3 linked regions of the Ovis aries genome follow. The protein of the gene in region 1 interacts with the protein of each later gene in a biochemical or structural test. Links are inferred from orthologs where the notes say so. Each region holds a gene or a part of one and is shown in the gene's direction. Other genes may lie near its edges.

Region 1 (4,084 bases):
AATCACACCCCCCACCCCTGAATCCTGTATGGGTCTCTTCCTTCTCCAGACCTGTTTCCTGTAAAATGGCCTGAGCCCTCAAGGGTTGTTCCGGGTAGCATGTACTCAGAGAGATGCACGAAGAATAAGCAGCTGTCCATCGGTTGGGAGAAGGGGGCATTCATTTTGGAGGAGGTGGAGGGAGGGGAGGGGAGGACGGGCTTGGGGGCAGGAGGGTCTAGCTGGCACCCAAGCCGTCAGTGCATTTCATCCCAGGTCGAGAGGAGGGGCAAAGACCCCTTCCTTCCAGCCAGACAAGTGCATTCATTCCCTCACCCTCTGCAGTCACCCACCGGGCGGGGGGTGGGCAGGGACAGGAGTGCGGGTCCTGCTAGAGGGAGGGGCTAGTAGGGGGAATGTTTACTGGTCCAGCACAGCACAGAGAGGCACAGACACTCCTGGAGAGGGCCATGAAGTCACTCAGCCTGGCCTCCAGGATATAGGGAGGGGCCGCTGCCTGGTCAGTTTCAATCCCCTCTTTTTGCCTCCAGGACCATCCAGGCACTTGGTGCTGGGTACAGGAGGGATCCTGATAGAGGAACGGGGCATGGGAGAGGGGAGGGGGCTTCCCGAGGAGGGTGGGCAGAGCCATGGCCCTGTGGCCCCTGGGTGGGGGTCCTTCAGCCTAAGGACCCTTTCTCAGCCCCTCCTCCCACCTCAGGGGCCTGCCTCCATTCCTGTGCTGTTCATTTAGTAGGCGCGTGGTACTAGTGGTAAAGAACCCACCTGCCAATGCAGCAGACGTGAGATACGGGTTCGATTCCTGGGTTGGGAAGATCCCCTGGAGAAGGAAATGGCAATTCACTCCAGTATTCTTGCCTAGGGAATCCCATGGACAGAGAAGCCTGGCGGACTACAGTCCACCGGGTCGCAAAGTCAGCACTCACCCAGTGTTACTGGGATAGGATGCTGCCCAGAATGGGGGCTAGATATAGGGGTCGTGGTGATTCGGGGGGTCCCCTGGCCCTGCAGTCTTCCTCCCGGCCTCCCTGGGCTGGCGTGGCCCGAGGCAGGGGAATGGCCAGGGTGGCTTGGACCCGGGGCGGGGGCGGCAGGGCGGAGGGGGCGGAGAAGGGGCGGGCGCGGGGGCGGTGCCGCAGCCAGAGCCCGAGCCCGAACCGGAGGCGACGGGAGCCGAGCCGAGCTGGAGCCTCCGAGGCCGCCACCGGGTCCTCAGCGACGCCGCCGCCTCCGCGCCGCCCCAGCGCCCCTGCCCGCCCTGCGACGGGCGTGAGCGCCGTGGCCAGCCCTTGGCCGGCCGGTGGGCAGCGGGCGCCATGGCCGCACCAGAGCCCCTGCGGCCGCGCCTGTGTCGCCTGGTGCGCGGCGAGCACGGCTACGGCTTCCACCTGCACGGGGAGAAGGGCCGCCGCGGGCAGTTCATCCGGCGCGTGGAGCCCGGTTCCCCCGCCGAGGCGGCCGCGCTGCGCGCCGGAGACCGGCTGGTCGAGGTCAACGGCGTCAACGTGGAGGGCGAGACGCACCACCAGGTGGGTGTCTGCGCTCCGCCACCGGCCCGCCGGCCCGCAGACCCGCCGCGCACCCCCACCCCGCAGCCCCAGCGCGCGTCCCTGCCCCGCGCGCCGGTGACCACCGGGCTCGGTGCTGCCTGCGCCCAGGCCTCCGTCCCTTCTCCGAGGCAGGAGGGGATCGCACAAGGGCCTCTGTGGGCTCCCGTGGAGAGGCGGGGGACGTGGCCCCCGAGGCCGCGGCGGCCGGCCTCCTTCCGCGCCTCCTCCACCCGGGTCGGTCCTGCACCGAGGGGGGTGGATCCTGGCAAGGGAGGGGCCCGCACTGCGGCTCCTGCGGGTCTCAGTCCTGGCTCTTCGCTCTTGGTCTTGTTCCGGCGCAGGGCAGTGTGTGGAGGAGCTGGCACCTCGGGGGTCTCCGTGAGCCTGGGACCCCGGTGCTTTTCACCCAGCGTGTATATATGTGCGTGTGTGAATGTGTGTGAACGCAGGGCCCTCGAGTGCACCTGCCGCGGATTTCACAGCGAGGGCACACCTGTGTGTGGGCGCATCAGTTGAGTGAGTGTGTGTGCTGGACTGTGTGCATATGATTATATAGGTTTGCACCCCTAGATGTGTGCGTGTGTGTGTCCAGGTCTGCCTTCCTGGAGGTGTGTGAACTGGGGGGTGTGTGTGTGTGTATCCTCCTGTGTGTGGCTGCGTGTATACGTGTCCCAGCTGTGTGTCTGCCGGCCGGGCTGTGTGTATTCTTCTGTGTGTGTCTGCAGCCTGGTGTACTAGTGTGTGTTCTGGCCCAGGGTGTCTGGATCCTGGTGGGAGTTGCCGCTGGTGGCAACACATTCCTGTCCTCAGAGGCTGCTGGGCGGCCTGGCTGGGATCGCAGGTCGCAGCCCCTGCCTCTTGCAGCGGAAGATAAAGGCCAGAAGGAGGTTCTCTGCAGGTTCTAACCCCCAGGGGGTGTCCAGTGACTCACATGGCTCAAGACCAGTCTTCTTCACCCCTTCTACTTAGGGTCCTCTGTGTCCCTCACCCCACCTTTTGCAGGACCAGCCCTGGGCCTTGAGAGTCATAAACTGGCTCCTGGTTGGGCTGGGGGCTGCCCTTTGCTTATATCCTTGGAGGTTTTGTGTTTCCCCTTGTCAGCTGTCTTTCTGTCGTCTACTCAGAGTGTCAGCTGGATGGACTGTTTGCTGAAGGAGGGTGAGGGTCAGGGCTGAGAGCTTGGATGGACAGGCCATGGGGAGGGCCTGGCCTCTGTTTAATCATTGTCGCCACCTTTGCCCCAAGAGTGAAGCTTGCTTGTCCCAGGCCTCCTGGGGTGCTGGTCTCTAGGAACCTCAGACACAGGACCCTGTGAGACCTTCCTACTGTCTGGGCAGGGAGAAGGTACAGTTCCAGTTCCCATTTTACAGATGAGAAAACTGATCCTTGGAGATACTGGGTGACTCGTCTGTGTCCCACAGTCAGGAAGCATCGGGGTCCAGGGTTCCTGTGACTCTGGGAGTGATGGGGAGAGACAGGTGTAGAGGAGGGCTGGGGCAAAGATGGGCCCGGTTCAGACCCTCCTCTTTTGATAGCATCTACTGGGCCCCACCGGTCCTTCCCGAGGCCTTGGGGAGGGGTTGGGTGTTGCCCTCCCTAAACCAATGCCCAGTGGGCACTGCCCTCCTGCAGGCACACACTGGCAGGTATGGTCTTGCACGTGCTCTAGACACGTCACAGACACTGCGTAACGACACCTACCCCTGCCCACCTCTGCCTACGGCCTCTGAATCCCGCTTTCTGGGTTGTGGGTGTGCACCTGAGTAGGCGCCTTGCCACAGGACCGCAGGTGGTCTCCCCGCTGCTCTAGCAGGAATAAGTTCAAGGTCGTGGTCTGGAAGAGAACAGAAGGCCTAGAGGCAGAAGTTTAGACCGTGTTCCACTCCTGGAAAGACAGAGATAGGCACAGAGACCCCGAGCCTGGGACCCAGGGAGTCACTTCTCCCCTTCAAACCCAGACCTAGAGACACCTTGAACTAGAAGGCTGCAGGCTGCAGGCCATACACAGGCACATACCCGCAGACTGAAAACCTGAAGCCCAGCCGAACACGGTCATTGTCACTTCCCAGGCCCTTGCAGCCTGGGCCCTGGTGCCTGCAGCCCCGGGAGAAAAGGGAGGCAGCTGCTGGAGCCGGGGGTGGGGGGTGGGGCCAGCGGGCCTCTCAGTCCAGCCGCCCACCGCTGCCTGGGCTCGTGGCCTGCCTGCCGCCCTGGGCCAGCCCGGGGTGGGGCCGCTGCCCTGTGCTGCCTGGAGTGCCGGCTGTGACTCGGTCCCACACTCGCCTACCCCAGGTGGTGCAGAGGATCAAGGCCGTGGAGGGGCAGACGCGCCTGCTGGTGGTGGACAAGGAGACAGACGAGGAGCTCCGCCGGCGGCAGCTGACCTGCACCGAGGAGATGGCCCGGCGAGGGCTGCCGCCAGCCCATGACCCCTGGGAGCCGAAGCCAGACTGGGCACGAGCGGGCAGCCTCAGCTCCGAGGCCACCCAGGAGGTACAGTGGGCTCTGCTCACAGCGACGATCCTGGCCTCATC
Region 2 (3,640 bases), on another chromosome or scaffold:
ACTGTTCTATATATACTGTACTTTGCTTTCTTCATGGCAGGGTGTTTTGGAGTGACTTGGCGCCTCTATCTTGGCGATGGATCTGTAGCCATCCACCGTATGGAGGGATCCTCGTTCTAGTTTATGGTTGCATTGTTGTTTAGTTGCCAAGTCGTGTCTGACTCTTTGCGACCCCATGGACTGTAGCCTGCCATGGTCCTCTGTCCATGGGAATTTCTAGGCAAGAATACTGGAGTGGGTTGCCATGCCCTCCTCCAGGGGATCTTCCCGACCCAGATGCTGAACCCATGTCTCCTGCTTGGCAGGCGGATTCTTCATCACTGAACCACCTGGGAACCCCGCATGGCTGGCATAGCACTCCGTTATGTGGGAAGGAGACAGTTCAGTTTACTGCTTGACCCTTGAGCTGTCTCCAGCCTTTCCCTATGTGCCTTTCAACGCTACCGTGAGCGACTTGCATATTAGTCAGTTCATTCTTCAAACCCCTTCATAAAGAGAAGGGGTATGGAATCTCTTAGGAGGACGGGGAAGCTGCTGACTGCCCAGTGCCCCAGCTCCTGAGAAAGGGGTGATCCCGGCTGAAGCCCCCTCCCGCCTGTTGCAGGTTATGTTCACGGAGGAGGATGTGAAGTTTTACCTGGCCGAGCTGGCTTTGGGCCTGGACCACCTGCACAGTCTAGGCATCATTTACAGAGACCTGAAGCCTGAGAAGTGAGTGAAGGCCCAGCTCTGCCCAGCTCCCTAGGGTGTGCAGAGGCAGGCCCCAGGAGCCTCTTCTAGAGCACAGCCAGTCTGAGGGGGTTGGGGGGGACTCCCCCTGAGAAAGTCCCCCTCTCTTGGGTTGCCCCCAGAACGGGTGGGTGGAGCAGAGTGGTGGTGGCAGGCTCGCCTGGGGGGCTGCCTCATCACTAGGGCTGCCATCACCAAGCACCAGGTACCTCTGTGCCTGGGTATTGCCTATCTTTTTTGCTAATCCAGTATGACATCTGAGATGCCACCGTTAAAGGCCCTTCCTTGATATGACCCTCTGTAGAATTTTCCTTAACATCTAAATATCCTCAAGTGGTAACTTGGGAGCCAGGGGCAGGTGCTTATGTGGAGTGAGATGTGGCTTTAGAGTCAGGCAGAAAGTGAAAAGTGAAAGTGTTAAGTCACTCAGTTATGTCCAACTCTTTGCAACCACTTGGACTGTAGCCCACCAGATTCTTCTGTCCGTGGAATGCTCCAGCCAAGATCATTGGAGTAGGTAGCCAGTCCTTTTTCCAGGGGATATTCCTGACCCAGGGATTGAACTTGGGTCTCCTGCATTGCAGGCAGATTCTTTACCATCTGAGCCACCGGGGAAGCACAGAGTCAGGCAGACCTGAATTCAAATCTAATCTCTGCCACCTCCTAACTCTCTGACTAGGGGAGTTATTTAACCTCCCTGGGCCTTAACTTCCCCATCATTAAAATGGGGCCATGTAAGTACCTACCTCACACAGTTGTTTCAAGAATTAGCGGAAAGGTAGGCAACACTCCTGTGCGGCACCGCCGGTCCCTGCGCCACCCACCCGTTCATCAGCCGGACCTGGTGGGCCAGCTTCCCTGGGCTGAGCCCAGCCCCTACAGACCTGTGACGTCACCTGACCCCACAAAAGGCCCACGACTGAGGGGCCCTGACCCCCTCTCTCCATTGCAGCATCCTTCTGGATGAGGAAGGCCACATCAAACTCACTGGTGAGTGGAGGGCACCTGCCCCTCCGGTTTCAGGGGAGGGCAGGATGGGCTCTAGATGGACCTGGGCTGAGGGCTAGGGTATCTGCTTATCCTGAGAGGCTGTGCCAGGCACTTAGAAGTGGTCAAAAGTCCAGGCCTGGCATGACCTGGGTTTGAATCCCAGGTCCCCACTGTGTAATGCTGAGCAGACCATCTCACCCCCCTGGGCCTCGGCTTCCTCCTGTGTACCATAGCGGTGATGCCCTCAGGCCTCTGGGCAGGGGGGCATGGGTGTGCAGGGGTGGCAGCGAGGAAGGCAGGGGGTCCTGAAGGTGTGTCCGCTTGTGCTTCTTGCCACAGACTTCGGTTTGAGCAAGGAAGCCATCGACCATGAGAAGAAGGCCTATTCCTTCTGCGGGACGGTGGAGTACATGGCCCCCGAGGTCGTCAACCGGCAGGGCCATTCCCACAGTGCAGACTGGTGGTCCTATGGGGTGTTGATGGTGAGTGCCCAGGCAGTGGTAGAGCACCCAGCATCCAGCCCAGGCACTGGGGCTCAGTTTCCCCACCTGTGGGGCACAGGGTCAGGGGAGGGTGGCTGCTGGTCTCTGAGGCTCTTCTCTTGTCCTCTCATAGCTAAGCTGGCCTCACACTCCTCCGAGCTGCAGTTTCCTTCCTTGGAAGGATTCCGGGCTTGGCCCCACCTGGGGTGCCCCCTGCCCCATACTGGGCCTCTCCCCAGCCTCAGGCCCCTAGTTCTGCTCCTGGTGGTCTGATTGATGGAGAGGGGAGGGACACACACAGTTCTTGATCCAGGTGGACCTCCTGGGCGGGGGGCTGAGCGGCTGGCCCGGGTGGGAGGAGGTGGGGGGCCTGAGGGGCGGGACCAGAGCCTGAACGGATCCTTGTTCCCTGCAGTTTGAGATGTTGACGGGCTCCCTGCCCTTCCAGGGGAAGGACCGGAAGGAGACTATGACTCTGATTCTGAAGTAAGCTCCAGCCTCTCTGACACCTCCAGGTGTCTCCTCTTCTTGGCCTAGTTTGGGGGCCAGACTAACACCCCGCACCTATCCTCACATCCTCCAAGAGCGAGACACTCCGCTGGTTTGAGTGCCGCGCTTTTGCTAGGGCCCCCTGTTCACCCACAGGGGCCTGTGGGTAGAGAATCCTGAGTCTCTGGGAGGGAAGTTAGTGGACGGCTTGTCTGGACTGAGCTGGAAATGAGACGTGGACAGAGGCGGGAGGTAAGACGGGGCCTCCGGGGCGGAGCTCAACCCTGACGAGACCCGGGGGCCATTGCAGGGCGAAGCTAGGCATGCCCCAGTTTCTAAGCACGGAAGCCCAGAGCCTCCTGCGGGCTCTGTTCAAGCGGAATCCTGCCAACCGGCTTGGTAAGTAGCCCCAGCCCAGGGGAGGGGAGCGGGTACAGCTGTGGCCTAGGCCACGGGGCCACATCTGGGGCTGAAAGGAGCCGTTGTCCTTTGTGTGGGCAGACAATGCCGGCGGCCACCCTGCCTTCTGGCCCCATGTGTGGAGTGTGGGGCGGGGGGGTGACCTGTGTCTGGGGGAAAGCAGGAACTGAGTCATCTCCACTCCCCCTGGGGATGAGGACAGAGGCCGGCACGGCTCCTCCGCCAAGGCTGCTGGCTCAGAAGAAGGGGCACGAGTTCAGGCGCCAGGGGCTCGGGACCCCACTGCTGGCACGCGGTGGTCCCTCCACAGATACTGTGGTCGGATGAGTGCTGTTTGTGAGCAGAGTGACCCAAAGCAGTTGACATGTCCCCCCGGAGCCTGAGGTCCTTGTCTCCACCAGGGACAATGGTCTCAAGCTTCGCGGATTAAATGAAGTCACATGAATGTGCCTGTAGTAGCTGCTCAGTATGTGTTGGCTCTTTGGCTCCCGGGTTCACCTGGACCTTGACCTGCTTTGTAAGGTCCCATC
Region 3 (3,640 bases), on another chromosome or scaffold:
ACGTTTTCCACGAGCTCAATTTGAAGGATGCCATCAGCTATGTGGCCGAGGTACTGGCCGTCTCATCTGCTCTTTTGTAGGAGTGTCGGGGGAGGGCAGGAAGAGGTGAGACAGACCCGTGTGTGGACAGTGCTGGGGTCTGCACCCTGAGGCCCGGGCAGGGGTGGGGCAGCTGGTGAGCGACACACAGTCTTCTTGTTGCCCCAGCCGCAGTTCACCTGAGCTCAAGGGCCCTCAGGCACCCTGAAAGTGGGGTTCACCACAGCTCCCGCTCTGCGGTGCTGGGTCTGAGGTCACAGACCCCAGTGAGCACAAGCTCCAGGCTCCAGCCGGGGCGAGGCCATGGGCGCAAGGCCTGTCTTCTGCACCTCCAACCAGCTGAGGAAATTCAGAGCAGGAATCCCGGCCCCTCTGACCGTGAGCCTTTGAGGCCTCGCTGCCTCCCTGGGGCTGGGAAGGTGGGTGGTGACCCCTGCTGGCTGCATCCTCTCCTGGGGACCCTCTATGGCCCCCAGTTCCCACTGGTGACAGGCTCCCAGCAGGGCACCAGCCTCCCTTCCCCCCTGCCGCCTGCCACCTTGGTGCCTATGATGCAGGCCTGTGGGCTCCTCTGCACCGCGGTTGTGCCCGTGAACAACGCCCACAGCACCAGCTTTGCCATAGCAGGTTGGCCCTCAGCTGGCTGCCCTCCCCAGCTCCACCCTCTCCCTGGAGGGCCAGTTGCTCTCCTAGGGCACCTCACTCGGCAGTGTGACCTCCATGCCTGTGCACTCTGCTCTGCCTGGTTTTCGCCTGACTCTGGAGGCTGGGGTTTCTCTTCTGGGGAAAACTAGGGCAGCTGGTTTGGAGCCCCCGTGGGGACAGGGCCTCTTCCCCCATCCCGTGGGGATTCCCCACGCTCCCTGAGGCACCAAGTCCTTTGCACAAGCCTCCGTGAGCCTCCCAGCTCCAGCGGGGCCTCCACCGTGGTTTCTGGGGTCTTGGCTTTCCCAGGTGCCTCGGGGTCAGTGCACAGCACCCCAGGGTGGGGCTCCCTGGGGCCAGGCCAGTGACTGACAAGGCCACCTCCTCTCGCAGGGAGAGCGCCGTGGGTCCCTGGCTTTCATCCGTTCTCCCAGCACGGACAACATGGTCAACGTGGACTTCAGCACCCCACGCCCCTCCACTGTGGAGGCCTCTGTCTCCTACCTCCTGTAGGTCCCCAGAGCTGCTGTGGGCCAAGCTCTCTCCAGGCTCCCCGACCAAACCACAGGCATGACCAGCGGGCCTCTTGGGGCTGCCCACATGGGAAACAGGCAGAGGCGGTGGCGTCTGTCACCTGTCGTGTCAGTCGGCTGGCTGGAGTGCGGCAGTGAGCCAGGGCCCAGCAGCCCGCTTAAGGAGCGCCCCCTCCCCACCACCAAAGACAGGGTGCTGGTCACAGATTCCAGGCCTCCAGCCTCTGCCCTGTCAGTGCAGGGCGGTTCTGGGTATCACTGCTGGCGCTTTGGAGGGGCAGGTGCACTGCGGGGTCAGTCTTAAACCGGAGGCAGAGAAGGTCTCATCGGGATGACCCCAGGCCCCAGGGGTGCAGGCGGGAGGGCAGGTGGTGTGCCCACTTGCTCACCAAGGCCCTCGCAGGAGGGAGAACGTGAGTGCCGTGCGCCTGGACATGCAGTCCCTGGAGCAGCGGCGGCAGAGCATCCGGGATGCGGAGGACATGATCACCCACCACACGCTGCAGCAGTACCTGTACAAGCCCCGGCAGGAGGTGGGTGCGCCCTCCAGAGCCAGCGCCCTGCCCGTCCTGCCCCAGGGCAAAGCATGGCCCTACTTAGTGCAGGTCGCTCCTGGGGGGGGGGGGCGGGGCGCAGCCCAGGCCCTGCGGACACGACCAGCTAACCCTAACCACCCCTCCCATCCCCACCCCACCCCCCTGCCTCCCCGCCACAGTACAAACATCTCTACAGCCGACATGGGCTGACCGCGGATGAGGACGAGAAGCAGGACACCGAGATCTTCCACAGGACCATGCGGAAGCGCCTGGAGTCCTTCAAGTCCGCCAAGCTGGGGATCAACCCCCACAAGAAGGCCGCTAAGCTGCTCAAGAGGGAGCGCGCCCAGAAGCGGGTGAGAGGGCACACTTGGGCAGGCACCACCGAGGGGGCACCCTGGTGGCAGGGCAGAGGCCTCCCTGGGGTGGACAAGCAGATCAGGCAGGACCCAGAGCTGTGAGCGGTTTCCTTCTGCTCCTCAGAGAAACAGCAGCATTCCCAACGGGAAACTGCCGATGGTGAGCTCCCTGCAGGACTTCACCATCAAGGAGAAAGGTAGGCTGGGCTATGGCTGGACGCTGGTCCGCAGGAGCTGAGGGGCACCTGAGGGCAGCCGGGTGCAGATGGCTGTCTTTCCAGGAAGCCGGTGCCCTGGGCACCAGGGCCCTCCTCACAGGCTGCAGCCACTGTGGGGGCAGGGCTGCGACCTGGGCTTCCCATCCCCTTCCTCTGTGGCCCGCCCCCTTCTCCAGTTGCCACCCCCCCTCCTCGAGAAGACCGAGTGTGGTCCTCTCTGCCCAGCCCTATCCTGGTGTGGCCAGGTGGGCACCACGGTCCACTGAGCTGCCCAGAGGCCGCTAAGTGGGGGCGGCAGACACGAGGACCCTGGGCGCGGCGGGGGTTGGGGGCGGCGGTGAGCGGGTCCGGGGCGGTTGGTCAAGGGCTCAGACGAGGTCATCTGCGCTTCCAGCCTGTCCCCTTACGCTGTCCCTTCCCTGTCACCAGATTTGGAACTCTCAGACACTGAGGAAGCCCCCAACTATGATGATGAGATGAGTGGCGGGATCGAGTTCCTGGCAAACATCGGGCAGGACACAGCGACAGACTCCCCCTCAGGTGAGGGGGCACGGCCCTGCGCTACCCGCAGGCGATCCCTGGCGGGAGGCCCAGGCGGTGGAGCGCGGTTCACGCGGCCGCGCAAGCGCGGGCACGGGCAGAGGCCTCCGCTCTGAGAGAGGAGAGCGAGAGCCGGCGCAGGGCCCGACCCCCAGAGGCCCGAGACCTTCCAGGTGACCTTCCGTGTGGCCGAGGCCGAGCTGCTGTCTGACCCAGGGCCGCTGCCTCCCTCTCTGCCCTTCCGGGGAGCGAGGGAAGCTGACGACCGCCGCCCTCTCTCCTAGGAATTGACAACCCCGCGTTTTCCCTGGAGGAGAGCCCCGGCATCCTCTCTGGGGTGCCGCCCTGGCTGTGTCCCGGGGAGGCGGTGGTGCCCTCCCAGAGGGCCCGCCTGCAGATCCCCCACTCCCCCGGCAACTTCCACCGCCTGGCGCCCTTCCGCCTCAGCGGCAAGTCCGTGGACTCGTTCCTGCTGGCCGACGGCCCCGAGGAGCAGCCGCACGCCGCCCCGCCCGAGTCCACACACATGTAACTGGCCCGCGGCCCCCGCGCCGGCCCCCGCTCCTCTCAGCGCCGCCTCAGCCCCGCGCGTCGCGCTCTCTCCGCCGCCGCCTCCCCCTGCTCTCACCAGCCTCAGCCTCTCTTCCAGCCGCGCTTCTTTCTCCAGGCCCTTCTGATTTCCTGCTTCTCCCGCGAGCGGGGGCGGGGCGTCCCCGCGGAGTGAGGGTCCCTCTGTGTGAGGGTGTGAGGGTCCCGCTGGGTGAAAGTGT

Evidence for each region.
Region 2: the proteins of NHERF2 (region 1) and RPS6KA1 interact in a test that uses a peptide from one of them, tested with the Homo sapiens proteins (2 studies listed by BioGRID and IntAct). The link is inferred for Ovis aries from reciprocal best matches to the Homo sapiens genes NHERF2 and RPS6KA1.
Region 3: the proteins of NHERF2 (region 1) and SLC9A3 form a complex in vitro, tested with the Homo sapiens proteins (2 studies listed by BioGRID and IntAct, with this or other methods). The link is inferred for Ovis aries from reciprocal best matches to the Homo sapiens genes NHERF2 and SLC9A3.

Annotation. Positions count from the first base shown.
Region 1 is NC_056077.1:2,098,218-2,102,301, forward strand, and holds the start of NHERF2 (Na(+)/H(+) exchange regulatory cofactor NHE-RF2), read left to right. Parts: upstream 1-1,175; 5' UTR 1,176-1,316; coding exon 1,317-1,529; intron 1,530-3,842; coding exon 3,843-4,043; intron 4,044-4,084.
Region 2 is NC_056055.1:240,316,045-240,319,684, reverse strand, and holds part of RPS6KA1 (ribosomal protein S6 kinase alpha-1), read left to right. Parts: intron 1-604; coding exon 605-711; intron 712-1,681; coding exon 1,682-1,719; intron 1,720-2,058; coding exon 2,059-2,201; intron 2,202-2,616; coding exon 2,617-2,687; intron 2,688-3,000; coding exon 3,001-3,089; intron 3,090-3,640. UniProt on the Homo sapiens protein: Serine/threonine-protein kinase that acts downstream of ERK (MAPK1/ERK2 and MAPK3/ERK1) signaling and mediates mitogenic and stress-induced activation of the transcription factors CREB1, ETV1/ER81 and NR4A1/NUR77, regulates translation through RPS6 and EIF4B phosphorylation, and mediates cellular proliferation, survival, and differentiation by modulating mTOR signaling and repressing pro-apoptotic function of BAD and DAPK1.
Region 3 is NC_056069.1:71,683,463-71,687,102, forward strand, and holds part of SLC9A3 (sodium/hydrogen exchanger 3), read left to right. Parts: coding exon 1-50; intron 51-1,077; coding exon 1,078-1,193; intron 1,194-1,620; coding exon 1,621-1,750; intron 1,751-1,932; coding exon 1,933-2,109; intron 2,110-2,236; coding exon 2,237-2,309; intron 2,310-2,759; coding exon 2,760-2,870; intron 2,871-3,154; coding exon 3,155-3,398; coding exon of another isoform or gene 3,399-3,402; intron 3,403-3,566; exon of another isoform or gene 3,567-3,640. UniProt on the Homo sapiens protein: Plasma membrane Na(+)/H(+) antiporter. Exchanges intracellular H(+) ions for extracellular Na(+) in 1:1 stoichiometry, playing a key role in salt and fluid absorption and pH homeostasis.